3 linked regions of the Schizosaccharomyces pombe genome follow. The gene in region 1 interacts genetically with each later gene. Each region holds a gene or a part of one and is shown in the gene's direction. Other genes may lie near its edges.

Region 1 (7,331 bases):
GTCGAATGCATTATTTCAAAGTACATGAAATTACTGATTAAATACCTTAAAGAAAAAAATATCATAATCCGAAACTTTAGTAGGAACTTATGTGAGTTTAAGCTTATTTATTTGTTATATAGTAACTTTTACCTTAGAACGCAATGTCTTTCAAGCTGTCACAAAATTTCTATTCTGGTTTTTGAAGCCTTCTTCTCCGTAAATAAGCTTGGAATAAAAATTCTACCGCTTCAGTATTCATTTTGGTATCTTGCCACGTATCGCCCCAGCAGTAAATACCGTGATCTCTAACAATTACAGCACAAGTATCTGGGTACAAATTGATCGCTTCTTGCAAACTATCATGAAGATCAGACTCATGAGCAGTATTATTGATAACTATTCGGTTAGCAGCCTTTTATAAAAGTTTGTAAACTCATACATGGAATTTTTATCTTATCTGTTGGCTTATGAAACCCATTATTTTTAGATCCTTTTGGAATATACGATAGTACTTCAAAACCTGTTGCCGAAAAATGATCAGAATCCGCAAATAGAGTAGACAATAAAATGGCTTCCTGAGAATGGGTATGGATACATGCATATGCGTCACGCAAGCTACTGCTTTAGTAAAGAATTCAATGTTCAACAACTTTGCTGACTTACGTGTATACTGCTAAAAACAAAGGTGTACACTGAGAAGGTTTCAATCGAAGAGCTGGCATTCGCATATATTCTCGAGTACTGCAAGAGGTTAGCATCTACTCAAAATGATAAAAACAATGACAATAATAATATCATACATTAAAGACATGACAAAAAGATGGTGTAACTCCATCCTTTCCTTTTGTACACCCGAGGGAGCGATTACAATGGCATCTCTACATGAAAGTTAATATTTGACGCTTTAATAATGCTTTGTACCCAGAGCGAATGGTAATTCCTCCTCTGATTCTTTTATTAGTTATATTAAATTCAAATTAGTAATTACCCAGTTCCTGTAACCCAGCCCGACGTATACAGATCTCGACAGATTTCGCAAATTAATTCACCACATTTTTTCAAATCGCCAGAACGAAGACATCCTAAGTCTTTCTTTAGAAAATCATCCATTATTACTATGATGATAATTATCTTGATGAAAAATTTTGAAAAGGGTCACGTTTCATTAACGTTTAAAAATTTTTAAGTAGCAAAAGTAACTGTGAGTTTAATCTACGCGACATTAAGCAAACAAAGTGAAGTAAAGAATTGATGTGTATAATAGCTATCTTGATAATTATTATTTTTTTTTATGAAATTATTAAACATTGTGTCATGGCACTTGAATAAATAGGAAGTACTAAGTTTTTGCTTAAAACAAAAAGTTTATTACAGTCTATTAACCTAATGAAAATAAAGTACAATAGAAATCAATTAATAATTTTTTTATTCAGTCATCCCCAAATATTGCACTGAAAAGAGTTTGGGGAGCTTTTGGTTTTTCTTCTATATCCTGGGGTCGATTCAACTTCCTTGTATCAATTGAATCGATACTTTTGTTTTCAATTTCAGCAATAATAGGTACATTTTCAATAGAAGAAATATTTTTACGCTTTTGTTTTTCTTGACCGTACGGTAAGGCGACATTAAAGCGTTTACAAAGAAGACGTTCGGGAATGAATGTAACAACTGTACGAGGTCTTCTCAAAATTGAATCATCAGTTTCACTATGTGAATTAATCGACTCTTTTTTAGTCGAGGCTTCAAAAGAACTTACGAAACGCATCGATAGATTTTTTGACATAGGTCGGTATAGTGAAGCTGTTTGAGTAAATTCTAGTAAATGACGAGAATCAATATCTCTGAGTAATCGTGGCATATTCATTAGGTGCGCCTTAAGGAAAATCTCGTAAATTCCGGCACGCTCATCGTTATAGGGATTATCTTTCCTAGACATTGCATTTTTAGCTGTCTCAATGTCAATTAGTTGCCAAGATCCCTCATCTTCCTTGACACCATGATTAACATCACTAGGTAAACTTGCTTCACCGTTGGAATTTGTTTCACTTTTCTCAGCAAAAAGTGGTAAGCGCTCATTTGAAGTTTGGGCTTTTTTTTGTGAAAATCCTTGAGAATTTGTAAAAAGTTTTGGCTCCCAACCCTCAGGTATTGTAGGAGGAGGAAACCAATTATTTTGAAAAGGTGATTGTAAATTAAATACCACTACAAATCCTGGAAGGGGAGGTAGACCATCTGAGCAATTTTGCGATTTGATTATGCTTTTCCCTTTGCTTCTGTCTTTTTTTGACAGAAAGGTATGCTTAACGGGTGTAAATGGAGAAGCGACTTTTTTTGTAATGTTGATAGATTTATCATACCGCATTTTTGGAGCACCGAGGTCGTATATATCTTGATCTTCTATCCCATCATCATTTAAAACACCTGATCCAAATCCACCGCGCAGATTTTTTGCCATTCCAACTGGTTTTCTTTCCAGCTGAAAAACATCGTCCGCTTGATACCCGATACCGTGATAAGCTTGGTTGGTTAACTTAGTGTCATCATAATACCCTTGAAATGGAGATATAACAAAATCATGACCGTTCCATCCAAGATTTTTTAACATTTTTTCGCCAATGCTATCGTCCCTATTTGAGAATTCTCTAAGTAGAGGATCATCAATTGGTATAGATGTATCAATCGTATTTATTTTCGAAGTATAAACTTTACTAAGCTCTTGGTCAGCACGATCTTCCTCGTCCATAATATCGTCAATAGTCATTCCATGCACACTTTTGTTTTCATTCCTTGAACTTTTCCAAGATTTAGGTTGCCAACCCTCTTTTGAACCAACCGTATTAAAATAGCCAGCAGAAAATCCACCAGTAAATGCACCATGAAATCTCTTTCTATTACGCTCATCCCTGGCTTCTTGTTTCCAAACAGGAACTCCTTGATTAATTCTGGACGGCTCAAGATCAAAAGGGGAGCCATAAACTACATAAGGGTGCCGATGAACATCGACATTGCTTCTTTTTCTTGAATTGGCATACATTTTAAAACAAGAAGTAATCGTGATCCGTAGTTAAACTGAAAAAAAAAAAATTCAAAATTCAAAATTTAAGGCATATTTTAGGATACTATAAGCCCATTATTTTTGAGGCGACAAGAATACTATGTTGAGCAACTTTTAATTTTTAATAAAGCCAGATAACTTATCAAAGAATTCTGATTTGTTGACAAAAGCAATTACAATACTCAATTTTTAAACAGTTGCCCTTGCTTCGAATTTCAGCTGCCTCCGTAGTGCAATCTGCGAGCGTTAGGGTACGTTATTTATCTATTACCTAATTCTTTGTACAGTTGAAGTTTCATGAGATGAAAAATGTATCATGTATATTTTGTCTGTTATTGAGAAATCTCAACAAAGTTCTATTTAGTATTACTTCATGTTGAACCAAGCATTCATAAACTAAGAAATTTGTTGGTAGCTGGTAAACTGAGCGAATTATCGTCGGTTGATTGGTAAAACATCATTTCTTATACTTCGTTTGCTCAACCATACTACGAATTTTAATGCCTAACAATTAATGAGCAATACACATTTGGATATGCTGCTTATATAATTTCACATATCTTGATAACTTAATTATCAATTAAGGAATGGTGGTTAGGCAAGTATGTGTATCATTACGTGGGGTTTTTCATAGATGTATGGTTTGAAGATGTTAAAAAAATAAGTGTAAGCGGTTACTATGCTAATGTTCTATAAAAACCAATGTTCATATAAATATTCGTCGATTGCGGGGCTTCTTCTCATAAGGATTATAATTACTAAACATAGAGGTATTGGCAGGTCAGTTGTAATTCGCGTACAACATCTTCGACTCACCACTTCTATAGTGGTACATAAATTACCGTTTCTTTCTGCGAAAAAGTGGGTTAGAAGTTCGTGCTATTACTTCTAAATAATCGTGAGAATTTAATTCAATCGTAGGATACAAAGCTGTTCATTATATAAAACTATCAACTTTCGAATATTCTATGGTGTGGATATAATTTTCATTTATCTTTATGAGTAAAAACTATACATATCATATTTACAATTAAAAATCTTCTTTCTTTCTACTATATGGATGGATATTTCGAATTATGTTGACAATTTCTACTTTGATGAGAAAATTGCTTCAGCATTTGAATTAGGTAAGCGTTTAGTAGTTCAATAAGCTTGCACATAAAAAAAAAATATTGGGTTTTTGTACCGGGATCTTAAAAGACGGAATTACTGACAGCTTTAGGAGAAGTAAGCACGGTTGATTTGTTAACGCTGGATATTACTGAGCTAGAAAGACGCACACATTGTAGTCAAAGTGAGTTATTACAGTTAATTGAGCAGATATCCCTCCTTCTTCAACCAGTAAGATGTTCTGCTTCCAAAGTCACTTCGAAATATTTGACAACTGGCGATGTAAAGTTGGATGAAACTCTACATGGAGGTATACCAGTAGGACAGTTAACTGAAATATGTGGTGAAAGCGGTTCAGGGAAGTCACAGTTTTGTATGCAGCTTTGTTTAATGGTTCAACTACCTCTCAGTTTAGGAGGAATGAACAAAGCAGCTGTCTTCATTTCTACAGAGTCCGGTCTTGAAACAAAACGATTATTTGAACTGGCGCGTTATTTACCAGAAAGGTATCCCAAAGCTGATAAGAAAGACATAATTATAAAAAATCCAGGAGATAGGGTGTATACTATATTATGCCCAGATCTGGAATCTCAAGAACATATCATTCAGTATCAACTGCCGATTTTATTCAATCGGGATAAAATTGGGTTGGTTATATTGGATAGTGTCGCCTCCAACTACAGAGCTGAGCTCCGTTACAACCGATCCAAAAGTCATTTTAGAGATTTAGATAATATTGCCAAACGTGGAAATCAATTGGGAAAGTTAGCTATGACTCTACGCACTTTAGCTCATCAACATGAAGCTGCTGTTGTCATAGCTAACCAAGTTAGCGATAGAATTCCTAGAGATTATGATGCTATTGGGTTGTTTAGTTTAGATTATCAATCGCAATGGTTTTCGGGATGGGATGACACAGATCCAAATCCCAAAATACCATCTCTTGGTCTCGTTTGGACTAATAACATCAGTACGAGATTAGCATTAATTAAGAAAACCGACTCTGCCACCAATAATTCGGGGAGAATCTTTCGGGTTGTTTATTCACCAAATTCTCCAAGGCTTGACGTACGAATATGCATAGGATCGGTTGGGATATATTCGTGCTAGCATTTTTGTAAAAATTTTATATATAATATAATAAAACCGGTTTATGAATTGCCCTAACTTTGTTTAATCGACTGTCGCTTATCAATCATTCGCAGAAAGAAAAGTAATGCTTTGAGTAACTGTTACATATATAAGTGTACTTATTTATCTTTATATTTATATTACCTCTGTCACTATTAAATATATATTTTGTTGATCTATGATGGTAGTGCATTTTTATTAGAATCCGACATACTTTAGTGGACTGAATTTTGGATATACCAGTTGGGTATTGAAATGGAAAAAAATACAATAAAAAGTTTTACACGTAACAAAGAATGCCCAAAGAGCTCTCTTAACCGACGAATGGCTTTTTCTACCTGTTTTTACTATTGCGCGTAAAAGATTTTGTAAGACCTTTCCGATAGCTTCCGCTATTGGCGATCCTTTAGAAATTTGCACCTAACATTTTTACCAAAAGCCAAGTATGCATTGGTGATATCTTGTAAATAAAAAATGAACATTCTTTTATAACATAATCGTTACAAAAATAGAACACAAAAATGTCAGTTCCAATTGATCGAATCAATACGGTTGACACTTTAGCCAATACACTGGAAAGTAATTTAAAGTTTTTTCCAGAAAAAATACATTTCAACATCCGGGGCAAACTAATAGTCATTGATCGCGTTGAACTTCCAATATTACCAACTACCGTGTTGGCACTTCTATTTCCTAATGGGTTTCATCTGCTTTTAAAACATGAGGGAGGTGATGTCTCATCATGTTTCAAATGCCACAAAATCGACCCTTCCATTTGTAAATGGATTTTGGACACCTATCTACCATTATTTAAAAAAAGTAATAATGCTTATCCCTCAAAAATTGCATTTAATCCTATATCGAATACTACCCTCGTTTTATTCTTAACAGAATGTTGCAATATCTATTTATTTTCTGAAAATAAAAAGCCCGTCGACCAAAAAATCAGGAGCGACTTATTAGAGCAAACTTTCAAGAACAACGACGTTTTTGAAAGTGCAGACAAAAAAAAAATCCGAAAAGGGCTGAGTGATGGACCGCTAGTTGATGCATTACAGCATTGTGGATTTCGCTACAACGATAAATGGGCCAAGAGAGTAAAGGAGCCAAAATTAATGAGCTTAATGTCGTATATCATAACAACAGTCGAGAGCTCCTCATTAAGCGAAGAATTTTTGAGTAAAATTTTGAAGCTATGGGGACAGCCAGGTAATAAGTGCTGGTGGATAAACGAAGTTATAAAAGTAAACGGATCTTTAATCAATGTTTGGAGGAGAAAGCAGTGGTTGTTGGAAGTTACGATTATGGGAAATCGTGAAAATTCTCAAGACTAAGTGTTTTAGTAAAAATAAGATTAAAAAACATTTTGCTAAGTTAGGCCGTGCATGCAGCCATTCTTTTAACAGATACCAATGTTACGAGGTTTCCCAGATTTTACTCAAATTGCGTGATAATTATTGTAGTATATTTATTTTGAATAATAATTTTTTATTTGAATTTTGTTAATACTGTTTTTTATAAATATTACAATACGTTCAATCTAGTTGTGGTAACATGAAAGTGCTTCCACTTACTTGATGCTCTCTACGCAAGAGTATGCCTAATGAGTTTATTTCCCAATCGCTTAGTACTCTTACAAATACACCCTTAAATATTCAGAAAAAGCTATTACCAATCACCAAATACAGTATGTAGCTGTTTTACCCTTACATTGCTGACGTTACATTTAGGAAACCAGTTGTTATATGCAGTAGAGCAAAATCAGATTACTATAGTGTTAGGCCACACAGGATGTGGTAAAACAACTCGTAAGTATTTTGATTAGATGGTTTATTAAACTAAAAATAATCTTGAAGAAATCCCTCAATTTTTATACGAAGCTGGATGGGCGTCCCAAAACGGTATTATAGGATGTACACAGGTTAGTCACAACTTTGTTTATTTATCATCCTCCTAACTTATTTGAAAGCCCAGAAGACTCGTAGCAAAGAGCGTCTCTGAACGAGTATCTTTGGAACTGAACTCTCCTCCTGGAAGTTTGTGTGGATATAGC
Region 2 (5,724 bases), on another chromosome or scaffold:
GCCATATCAATGTGAGGACTATTTGGAGTAAACAGCTCTTCGCAGGTTTCCACACCAACAACGGTTTCATTGCATTGAAGAATGGCATCTCCAATAGGAACGGTTGTTTGGTTTAAAGACTTTGCAACAAAAGTAGGCAAGTAATGAGTTTCCACAACTCTTGGCCTTAACCAGGGAGTAAACCAACGAGACTCACGAAAATTTCCATCGTCACAAAGCCAAATCTTGGGACGGATTAACAAGATTTTTCCATTTAGAGCTAGAATACGGCAGTTGTGACGCATGGCTTTGTGCATTACAGGCATACCGATGTCAAGGAGAATGTCTTGGCAATCAGGATCGTGAATAATCGAACATAACATTTCCCAACTATGGTAGTAAGTGTCACTTTCTAGAAAATGATCTTCACAGCCATAGCCTCTAATGCGTTTGTTAATAGAAAGTTACAGTGCATAAAATTAATATCAAGGTAAAATACAAGTTTCAATATTGCAAGAAGATGAATAAACTCAACCGAAGTCGCACTCAGTAAACTTGACCATGGCTATCCTTCATGAAGTTTAAACTTTAGCTTATTCACTGATACACTTGCAACATTTAAATCCATTTCTATTACATACGTGACTTCTAATTCTGGACCAACACGAAGGCTTGCGTTTTGTCTTTTCGCCTCTTTGATGGAATCAATGATGCGTAGACGGTTTCCCTCAAAGTCCATTGCCCACTGGTTCAGCTGACTACAGAAGTTAGATCATTGAGACGAAAAATGATTATAGCATACCAAGATGCGATGGTTACATATCGTTCCATAATGAACTGAATGCTTAACTTGAGGTTTATTCCCAAACAAGTAATTTAACTTATAATGTTTTTTTCGTACTATAAAAGTTCCAACTATGAGTGAAGATCGAAGTTTCTATTCAAATGTCTATTCACGGTTATGGCAGTAAGTAAGAGCAGGAGGTAGTTGTCATAGTAGAGTCAAGTGTAAATAAAGGGTTCGCATCATATAGCAAAAATGCCAGTTTCCCTAAGTAAGAAAAAGAAAATTTAAATAATTTTAAAGACCCTCTCTGATATTAGTAAAAAGAACCTTAATACTTCTTATGCAAATTTTGGCGACTCTTCTAACTACATGTGTATTAATTGTACATTACTACATAGCTTAAAAATTGATTTATAAAATCAGAATAATTGTAATTTTTATTTGATATTGCAATACAAATTCTAGTTTTAGCGATATATCTTCTCAAGTGAAGTCATTTCTGGGACTTCCTTTAATAAAAAAATTTGCCTATCTTTTTCAGATATACGAGCTAATAAATGAAATTTTTTGATTTAAAGTCTGTCTGGTTTTATTAGTGTTACTCGCTTATAATTACAGGTTTTTTGATGATTATAGAGCAAGCTGATATCTGGAATACGCACAACAGTAATTACATTTTTTTAATAGTACAAAATTGTTTTAATTTTATCCTTGAAAATATTTCATGATTTAATTAATATACTTAGTTCTTGGAGCATATAATCGAAATTACTTAGCTTAAAGAAGAAGAAGCAAAGCGACAGATGCCATAATGGTTGATACTCATTTTTTAACTCCCCTTCAGTTACTTCTTGTTGCAAATTATAGACAGATGATTCTTCAGCTGCTCAATAAATTTAATAGTTTTAGTGATTGCAAAGATCAGTCTTCTTTTTTGAAAGGGTATTAATTAGAATTGACAAAAGATTTCAGGTTTATTATTACAATGAAACAACTTTCTTCATCTTCTTGGGCTTTTTTCTCCTAAATTTCGTCCAAGTACTAAATTTTAGGTAAATTTCTATCAGTGCGCTTAAACCAACTTTAATAACTTAATTTGTACCTATCTTCGACATGGTGATGAGAATTGCAAGTTCAAGATTTCGAGCAGAATTACCCTCTATAGGCCTTTTATGTTGCTAAAATTATAACATAAGTACTTTTGCACCTAATCGTATCATCAATCATCTTTGATGAATTTTCTTGCCTGCAAACCTCAAAAGCGATAGAAGAACAAAAGAATCAGTTTTATCTCCAACTGCTATGTTTAGATTCTCTATTATAATGCGACGATAGATACAAATTTACAAGATAAATAATTTTACATTACGAATATTTGAAGCAATCTGCCTCTGTAAGCTCAACTGTAAACTTCATGGTTTAAGGTGAAAAAAGACATCTTTTTTTATATATCATTATGTATACACACAGTCTGTCCCTATGAAACTATCAATCGGGATTATTAACCATTGTTTCCGTTTCTCGATACAGGATATTGAAAATTATCTAACAGTTTTGCTTCCTTGGGCACTAAGAGACCTTTTACTAAAGAAAAACCCATCAAATATTAGACCTTGTAGATTAGTAAAATTAATAAAAATAAGCATCTCTCTTGAAACCATCTCAAGAGATAATCTGCTTCTGCTTGCGTATTATAAAGTTACCTTCAATCATTTCGGCGTGTAAACAAGTACCTCATATCAATAACCAAAAGCTCAACTCGTTTGTAGTTCATAAAGAAAAAGAAAAGAAAAGGAAACCTTGTTTAAGGATTCTACAAAGATGTAATTTTCTGGCTTGAGATCATTTACTTTCCTAGATTTCAACTTTCTGCTGTATACCAACCATTTCCTAACTACCATCCAACAAAAGCACGTAATTCCCATTCCTAAAGCGAGAGCAATTAATGCTCAAATGAGGTTTATACATGAAATAGATATTCTCACTCTTATTCTTTAATTAATTATTAAATAGGGTGGTTTGTGAGTTTTTTTCAACAATATTAAGCTTTTCGTAAGCCACCTTTCGGAACTGCCTTTACAGGCTTTAAAACTTATATTCTATGGATACAAGTTCCAATGTTTTTCATTATCAAGTATTGTGGACGTCTGATAAAGCAAAAAAAGTAAAAGTTTGGAAAGATGGGACAATGCGCTTCCACAGCTTCAATAATCGTGGAATTCTCTACGATTCTGATAACCGAGTCGTAGATGATTTTTTCCTTAACAACAAGAGAATTGTTCTGGATTCTGAAATTGAATTTAATAGAACTATTGTTTACGTTGAGAATTTACAAACAACTACTGAAGCGAATATTCCACCTATACCGAGGAAATCAAAATTGAGTGAGACAGGGAAGAGGCCAGCTTATTTATTAAAACCATTCCAGCCTCCATTTCACTCCGCTAACTCAGATGTATCTAACAATTCAAATGGTGCTTTATCGTCAAATATGTTAAAAACACACGCTCATCATACAAATTCAACAAAATCCACGATCTTCCGGAACGCAAATTTGCAATCTTATGGAGTAGATGACTCAGATATTGGTAGTTTGAGATGTTCAAGTAAGCATCAACTGTCAGTAACACCGGAAATACAACCCAAAGCTAAGTTTAGACCAAACTCATATCTAGCTTCTTCTGTTGAGGAATCTAATCGAGCTAACAATACCTCTCCCTATCCCCCATCTAACTCATCCGTAACTGCGCTACCGAAACCTTCGAAAATTGCATATATCCCTGTTTTGTCAAAACCCAAGTCTTTTAATGGCACCTTGGTTGAAGATCCTGTAGAAGAATTTGGAGAAGACGACATAGCTTCTGACTTTTTTTCTTCCCCTTCTGCCGATCTCGAGGCAGATGATTTTACCACTCTAAATAATTCAAATGCTGGTCATTTGTTACAAAACCTAAGTAATGATAACGTAAGTGTCTCCGTGAAGGCATTAGAAAATGGAAATGAAGAAGTTTCTAATAATCATGCTCGATCTCCTCATTCTTCCCGCGCTTGTAATACCATACCTTCCAACAAAAACGATGGGCTAAATGATGATCATCAAAGACAAGATTCTTCTGTTGCAGAACCCAGTCCTACTTCTAAACGTCTCCGTTTGACTCGCCTTCCGTTACCTCTGCTTCGGAAACCCACGGGGAAACGACAAAACTTTATTAATATCACAGTTACCGACCCCTCAAAAAACTTGTACGAAAGAAGTGTCAAAACTGCTGCCGAGCTGGCATCGCTTCAAAATGTAACAGAAACAACTGATAATGAAATACCAAACTCTCCTGATTTTCTAGATGCAGCATCAGAAGAGGATGAACACATTCCTTCGCTAGATTCGTCATCTCTTTTAACACCTTTGGCTTTGCCCAACAAAAAAGCCTTTCAACCCGTGAAGTTTCGTGTACCGTCTTTTTCATCTCCTTTAGTTAAACCAGCATCTTCGTCCTCGTTTGGTAGGAGTCACTCTCACTTAGGCACGTCCCTTCGCTCAAACGAACTTAATGGATCTAGTGCTTCTTCTTCAATCTTTCTACAATCCAACAATGCAGTCAATCCTAACGTTTCACCTTCTACTGTGCTTGAACATGCCAAACATCCTTCCTTGGCCAAACATTCAGGTGTATCGCTGAGAACAGGCTTGTTGATATATCCTAAATATGCAAATGGTTCGAAAAGAAAAGACGGTTTTGGAGCTACTTCTATAATATCTTCAGGGGAACATTCGTCGTTGCCTAAAAACTCGAAATCCAGAAATGTGTCGGTATTTTCTAGCCCTTTTAATGTCCCTTCGTTTACTGTTTCTTCTTCGGACCAAGTCCAAAAGAAAAAAGGAAATGTTCCTAATGCTATTGAAACGGACTCTTCTCCTTCGGATACCATTTCATCCTCGCCTACTGTTCGAGCTGTAAATCTCTCACCCAGCAAAAACCAAAAGCCTCCGAAAATACTTACCAAAATTCCGGATATTTTTTCTAAAGCGGGAAAGAAATCTCCTATTTTACCAACTTTTCAAGAGTCTTGTTCGTTACCTATTGAGCCTTTTTCGTCAAACATTACGGATTTGCCATTTGTAAATACAGTAACACTTGCTTCAACGAGTAGCAAGATCAAAAGGGCAAAGTTAAAAATGCTAAAATTTAAGCATGCCATGACTACACAAGGACGCGATCTCGATTCGGACGAAGATGGTGACTTTATTTGAAATTAATTTTTCTTTCGTACGTTGAAACTTCTCTCTCAAGCCGACTTTGTTACATATAATTTTTAATTCAAAAAACAGTACTGAATTTTGATTTCTGGTTTCCTTCATGTATTATTATCAACATTTATTTTTCCATAGTTCATTTAGGTTTTAGCTATACTTATTTAGCTCTTTTACATATAATTAATTTTTTTTTTTTAAACATTAGATTTCAGCTTGTTTTTGGTGTTGTTAGTACAATTCTAGGTTTTGATTTTCATTTTTTAGTAGCACATACATTGCTTTTTCAAAACCTTGAGTTTCTTCTTTGAACCTTTGAGCAAATAAGTATCAGATTTATTCTTTTCTTTTAAAAAACCAACTATTTGGGTTATTATGAAAATGTTGTAAATATTTTAAGTTAAATTATCTTTTGTAGTCATTTATTTTCTATACATGTTTAAATTTTTCAGCACTAAATAGTGTCTGTTGGTGAGCTCCAAAAATCTTGTTAAAGATGGGTAAAAAGCGAAAACAGACCATAAAAAATGACTATAATGAAAAAATTACGAAAAGAAAGGTCAAAAATAATTTGACTGATGGAAAAGCTAGAGCGTTAACGGTTTTTGAGTCTTTACCTTTAGAAGTTTTAAGATTAATATTTTTGTTATCCAATAATTCGAATTTGGCAGTGACTTCTCGTAGTTTGAGACACCGATTATCTTTAAGG
Region 3 (5,606 bases), on another chromosome or scaffold:
AAGGAATGATCTTGAAAATCCCGAGGATGTAAGTATCACTTTCAATACCACCTGTAACACATTAAAAGTTCTAGTCGATACTAACCAAGTTTAGGATATAATTGTATTTTCTTCTGAGTGTACATTTGAAAAAGTTACGGAATGTACCACTGGGAGAGCTTACATGCTCAAATATCCTTCTAGCGCTCATAGCCTATTTTACTGGATGCAAGAAGCCTCAGACGATAACGATACTTCTTACGCTGAAAGAATTAACAGCTACATTAAGGATCAAGATTTATTAGATCCGGCCCGCTCTGATGTTGCAACGGTTTCTGATATGATGGAAGTGGATACTGTTGAGCAATCGGAACCTATTGCTCAACCAACTGAATCTTCAAAAGAGAGCTCCGAGATTGGAGCCCCGAACAGCGATGAAATTAATTCATCGGAAGCTGTGAGGAATCTATTGGCTACAATTTCTGCTCAGGCTGGATTTGGAGGTAGTACAGTCGATCTTTGCGAAATCCTCAAACCTTCGAATTTAACCGATCTTTTATGCCAAGAAGGTGTTATTGATCGACTCATGCCTTACATGCCTCCTGATACCCCAAATAATTTGGAGGGGGTTTTGGCTATTGTTAGTAGTCCTCAATATGCTCAAGCTTTGAGAAGCTTTTCTCAAGCTTTAAATTCTCCTGGTGGTGTAAACATTATTTCAGCACTTGGTCTCTCACTCGACGAATCTGCCAATCCTAATGAGGGAGGTGCTCTGCAATTTCTTAAAGCAATTGCTCGCTTCGTGAGCAGGAATAATGGTTCTGAGTAATGTCTTCGATTAAGTAATTCGTCGTATATCAAAAATTTCTATTTAAAATATTATCCGTTGAATCGTTTCTTTATAATTCACTGACGATTCGTATTAAAAGTTTTTAAATTGAGCATTACTGGCGTTCTTTTTTTTTTTTTTAAATAAATATGGAGGAATTAAAATGCTTTCATGGTAGGATTTGTCCTCTTACCAAAATGAGTAAGAGTAAGTTGGAGTACACAATACAATGTTGCTCGCTCAAAATGCTCTTTACAGAATGTTTATTGGTACAGTTTCATTTTTTCTCATATATGAAATATTTGTTTTAGGAAATAGGCAATCTTTATTTTTCTTGCATACAATGCTTATCTTTCCTAAACACTTAAGATTTATAAATGCAATGTATGTTCATGAATATGAACTGCGAGCGCCAAGGATGAATTACATTAGGACGACTAAAAATGAGAAGTTGCACTCCCGAAGTATCTCTACTTCATACTTCATTATTATTTATGCTTTATATTGATTATTGTTGTTTTACAAAATATGTTTTATTTCCAAAACAGTTGGTAAAATGTAGGATATGTAATGTCAAATACATAATACCAACATCTATTCTTAATAAGTTAGAAAGTTGAACAGTATTGAAATGATTTACTAAAGCTAGAAAGTAGCCAACTGTAAATGGTTAAAGTATTGACGTGTAGTCACATTCAATTTTTGCGCAATATCATTGAATTTCAAATCTAACGATTTTACTTTTGTAAACAGCCAAAAAAGTGGTCATAAAACGGTCAGGGAGGGACTCGAACCCTCGACCTCACGATTAACAGTCGTGCGCAATAACCAACTACGCTACCCGACCTCGGTGTCATCCGTTACATTTAGTAATATATATTGTTAAAAAAATAAAGCGTAGTAAATGTAATTGCTTTTTTGAGCTATGGCTTGTTACATTCTTTCTCTTGAGCAAATTTAGACTTGCTCATTACAATCATAATCGCTTTATAACGTCTATCTGCTTGTCTTCATTTGCATGAAAAAAAATCATATAAACAATGTATGCGGATAGTCAACTCAAACAAAATAGTAGTAATTAAATAGCAATAATAAAGAAGGAGCCTACAGCACCCCGGATTCCCATGTTGTCTCCAACCATAGTACTAACGAGGCCCTCAGACGCTTAACTGCAGTGATCGGACGGGAACTGGTGTTTTCGCCTAGGTATGGCCGTAGACAGCTGTTAAGTTTTAATAAAGTATATAAACGATAGTTATCACTCATTAGGAATTCGAATGTATGTTGGCTCCACTACGAATAAGATATGAATGTTAGCAATATAACCTGAAACTATATTTGACATTCTTTTTTTAGAAATATCATTAAACAAGCAAAATCTATTTTCTATGATTGTTTCAAAAAGTCAAGATGAAAAGTTCAAAACTCAAATTTAAAATTACTTCTTCAACATTACTGATTCTAACAACATAAATCTCCTATCGAACGTATTAATAAAAGTGGAAACATGCTGTAGTTTGTACATCAGGTCAAACAATTATTAATAAAATTAGAAAATAAGTTTTTCTACCTTGAGCCCTTCATTTCCATATTAATATATATATATATATGATTAGCCAAATAGCTGGTGTTGTAACTAAACGTTCTTAACTGCTTTCATATAAAGTAACGGTGCAACGTGTTACTTATGCAGAGCTTACAACAGATAAATCGAAATTTGGGTTAAGCCCTGGTTAAATTTGTAGTTCTGACAATTGTGAGGTATTTTAGATGTTTTCAATATTTTGTTTGAAAGTTTAACAATATTATGGAGGTGAATGATACCTCTTTGCATAAAGGATTTGGCCTTGACATAAATTCTCAACGTGTATTTGGAGCACAAGCAGCAATTTCTCGTAACAATTATTCAAAAGTGAATGCTTCAATTAATCCTTCCCCTCCTAGGAGTAATGATAATTCTAATAAGGAGTTTAGTTATTCTAAGGATGTGAATAACAATGGTGCTGTTGAGGAGCTAAGTCTTACGCAGTTGTTTGAAGTACCTAGTCAAGCTGCTTTTGCAAAACAGAGTTCCCAGGACATTTCGGATGATGAACTTATTCAACATGATTCTCGTAAGGTGATATCGTCGCCTTATTCACCCAAGCAGACACATACAGTGTTAAAACGCTTATACGATCGTCAATCAGTTATATCGGACCATGAAAAGCTGTTGACTCCTCAGAATGTATCTAATTCTTCCCAAATTCTTTCCCCATTTACTTCTCTATTACCATCAACTCTTTCAACTTTAAAAGATACACCTTTGTCAGTTTCTCAAAATGAGAAAAACTTAGAAACCGTTGGAGAAGTCCTTGTACCTGAAACCGTAGCTCAACATAGGACAAAGTTTTACGATTACACTTTGGATGAGATGGAAAATGAGACAGAAAGCGGTCAAGTAGAGACTACACCTACTCGACTGGCGACTTCTCTAGGGTCTCCCGTTCTTTATGGTCGAGTAGAGTCCACTCCTCCTGCTTTTTTACCAGAGACATCCGAAAAACAATATAAACGAAAATTTAGCTTTACTGAGCCCTCGTCTGAAAAAGTTGATAATACGGAAACCAAGTTTTCAAAAAAAACTAAAAACATTAATGATGAAAACTTTCCTAATCCATTTAATGTGATTTCTTCATATGAAACAAGTGCTTCACCGTCGACTGTAATAGATCAGTCTAGTCAAGTGAGCTCAATTTTTGTAAACAAACGGCTGAGAAAATCGGTTAATAATCAAGCTATCTCAAGGTCTGACAGCCTAAGCCTGGATACTCCTAAAATTGATAGTTTATTCACTAGGGCTTCTATTAAGCCATTAAAACCTTCCCAATCACCGAATTCAAGAAGGTCTTTTAAAAACCGTGTACTCGCTTTTTTTAAAGGATATCCCTCTTTTTACTACCCAGCAACTCTTGTCGCACCCGTACATTCAGCCGTAACAAGTTCCATCATGTATAAGGTTCAATTTGATGATGCAACTATGAGCACGGTTAATTCAAATCAAATTAAGAGATTTTTTTTGAAAAAAGGAGACGTTGTACAATCCACAAGATTAGGAAAAATCAAGCATACTGTTGTGAAAACATTTCGATCTACTAATGAGCAATTATCCCTTATAGCAGTGGACGCTCTAAACAACGACATGGTTATTTTGGCACACGGAGAAATTGAGGTTACGGTTCCCATTTCTACTATTTATGTTGCTCCTGTGAACATTCGGCGGTTTCAAGGAAGAGACCTCAGTTTTTCTACTTTAAAAGATATGAAGTTTGAGGAAACATCATTTCTTCCTTCACATGATTCTCAGAGAAACCGCTCTTCTTTGAAAGAAAGGGATTCTTCCTTTGTCAAGAAGAACTTGGATTCAGAAAGTAATCAGCTCATCTTTGACGATTGCGTGTTTGCATTCAGCGGTCCCGTGCATGAGGATGCCTATGACCGAAGTGCATTGGAAACTGTAGTTCAGGATCATGGAGGATTAGTTCTTGATACAGGCTTACGCCCTTTGTTTAATGACCCGTTTAAAAGCAAACAAAAAAAGTTACGCCATTTGAAACCTCAAAAGCGAAGTAAATCGTGGAATCAAGCTTTCGTTGTATCTGACACATTTTCTAGAAAGGTTAAATATTTAGAAGCTCTAGCTTTTAATATCCCGTGTGTCCATCCTCAATTTATTAAACAGTGCTTAAAAATGAACAGAGTTGTTGATTTTTCTCCTTATTTATTGGCATCTGGCTATTCACACCGTCTAGATTGTACACTTTCCCAACGGATAGAACCTTTTGATACCACTGATTCTTTATATGACAGACTTTTGGCAAGGAAGGGTCCTTTATTTGGAAAAAAGATTTTATTTATTATACCTGAAGCAAAATCTTGGCAGAAAAAGATTGAAAATACAGAGCAGGGTCAAAAAGCTTTGGCTCATGTCTATCACGCGTTGGCATTGGGTGCTGACGTTGAAATTAGACCAAATGTTGCACATTTGGAGTGTGATTTGATACTTACGATGGATGGAAACATTGTAGATGAAACTAATTGTCCGGTCGTTGATCCTGAATGGATAGTCGAATGTCTTATTAGTCAGTCTGATATTTCTACTTAGTTTTGGTTTTTTGATATAGTTATTTTTACTAACTCCCCCTGAGTTTCACTCTCATTAATTTAGCTTTTTATTAATTTTAGATATTTGTTGTTTATTAATTTATTTGCAATACTGACGAAAAGTGTCAATTTCAATATTAAACAAAAACTTTCTCTAAAAATCTACATGAGAGGATTGATTGGGATTATTAAAAATTTTCAACGAACTTAAAGTCCTTTATTTTTTCACTTTTTTTCGTGGCTGTAGAATATTGGCTTGCGTAGCAGGTTTCGAATGGTTGTGATTTTTACGATCATCACGTTTTGCCAACCCACATATATCTAGCTTGTAGCGCTTATAATGAAAATCCTTTAAATTTTGTACAGCGGAAAGTGTGTTACTAAGAAACTTTTCTGTTGACGACTGTGCATCAGATAAAGAGCCAAATGGATGCTTCAATAAAGTATCGTAAGTGACTCTGTATAATTTAGCTGGAATCATTACACCAGAATCACCAAAATTATCTTTAGCAATAAATTCTCTTGTTTGATAGAACTGTAGCTGTAATGTGAAAAAGCCAACTAGTTTACCTGAGGAGCACTCTTGTCTATAAGTCAGCGTATCCCAAAACTCTTCAACGGACATGTCACTTTTCTCATCTTGAAGCTCGCATAA

What was found. Genes that interact genetically often act in the same process or in processes that back each other up.
Region 2: of rad57 (region 1) and dbl2, a mutation in one rescues a mutant of the other (synthetic rescue), as found in Schizosaccharomyces pombe (3 studies listed by BioGRID, with this or other methods).
Region 3: mutations in rad57 (region 1) and crb2 together harm fitness more than expected from each alone (negative genetic interaction), as found in Schizosaccharomyces pombe (3 studies listed by BioGRID, with this or other methods).

Annotation. Positions count from the first base shown.
Region 1 is NC_003424.3:2,119,193-2,126,523, forward strand, and holds rad57 (DNA recombination mediator, RecA family ATPase Rad57/Rhp57), read left to right. Parts: upstream 1-3,837; 5' UTR 3,838-4,097; coding exon 4,098-4,164; exon of another isoform or gene 4,165-4,259; coding exon 4,260-5,257; 3' UTR 5,258-5,314; downstream 5,315-7,331. Other genes in the region: ATP-dependent 3'-5'-directionality DNA helicase fml2, read left to right, coding at 1-28; mde1 (5'-methylthioribulose-1-phosphate dehydratase), read right to left, coding at 170-378, 422-597, 646-723, 783-860, 904-927, 971-1,092; gpl1 (Gpl1-Gih35-Wdr83 complex RNA-binding subunit), read right to left, coding at 1,412-3,016; whi2 (phosphatase activator), read left to right, coding at 5,800-6,612; gih35 (ATP-dependent RNA helicase), read left to right, coding at 6,875-6,965, 7,009-7,086, 7,135-7,199, 7,248-7,331. UniProt on the Schizosaccharomyces pombe protein: Involved in recombination DNA repair and in the repair of gamma-ray-induced damage.
Region 2 is NC_003421.2:307,672-313,395, forward strand, and holds dbl2 (DNA recombination protein Dbl2), read left to right. Parts: upstream 1-2,642; 5' UTR 2,643-2,867; coding exon 2,868-5,015; 3' UTR 5,016-5,224; downstream 5,225-5,724. Other genes in the region: qns1 (glutamine-dependent NAD(+) synthetase), read right to left, coding at 1-420, 621-737, 782-810; SPOM_SPCC736.02 (uncharacterized protein), read left to right, coding at 5,512-5,724.
Region 3 is NC_003423.3:4,208,472-4,214,077, forward strand, and holds crb2 (DNA repair protein), read left to right. Parts: upstream 1-2,495; 5' UTR 2,496-2,615; coding exon 2,616-4,952; 3' UTR 4,953-5,106; downstream 5,107-5,606. Other genes in the region: proteasome regulatory subunit rpn1301, read left to right, coding at 1-28, 95-808; histone lysine acetyltransferase Rtt109, read right to left, coding at 5,169-5,606. UniProt on the Schizosaccharomyces pombe protein: Essential for cell cycle arrest at the G1 and G2 stages following DNA damage by X-, and UV-irradiation, or inactivation of DNA ligase. Plays a role in the response to DNA damage.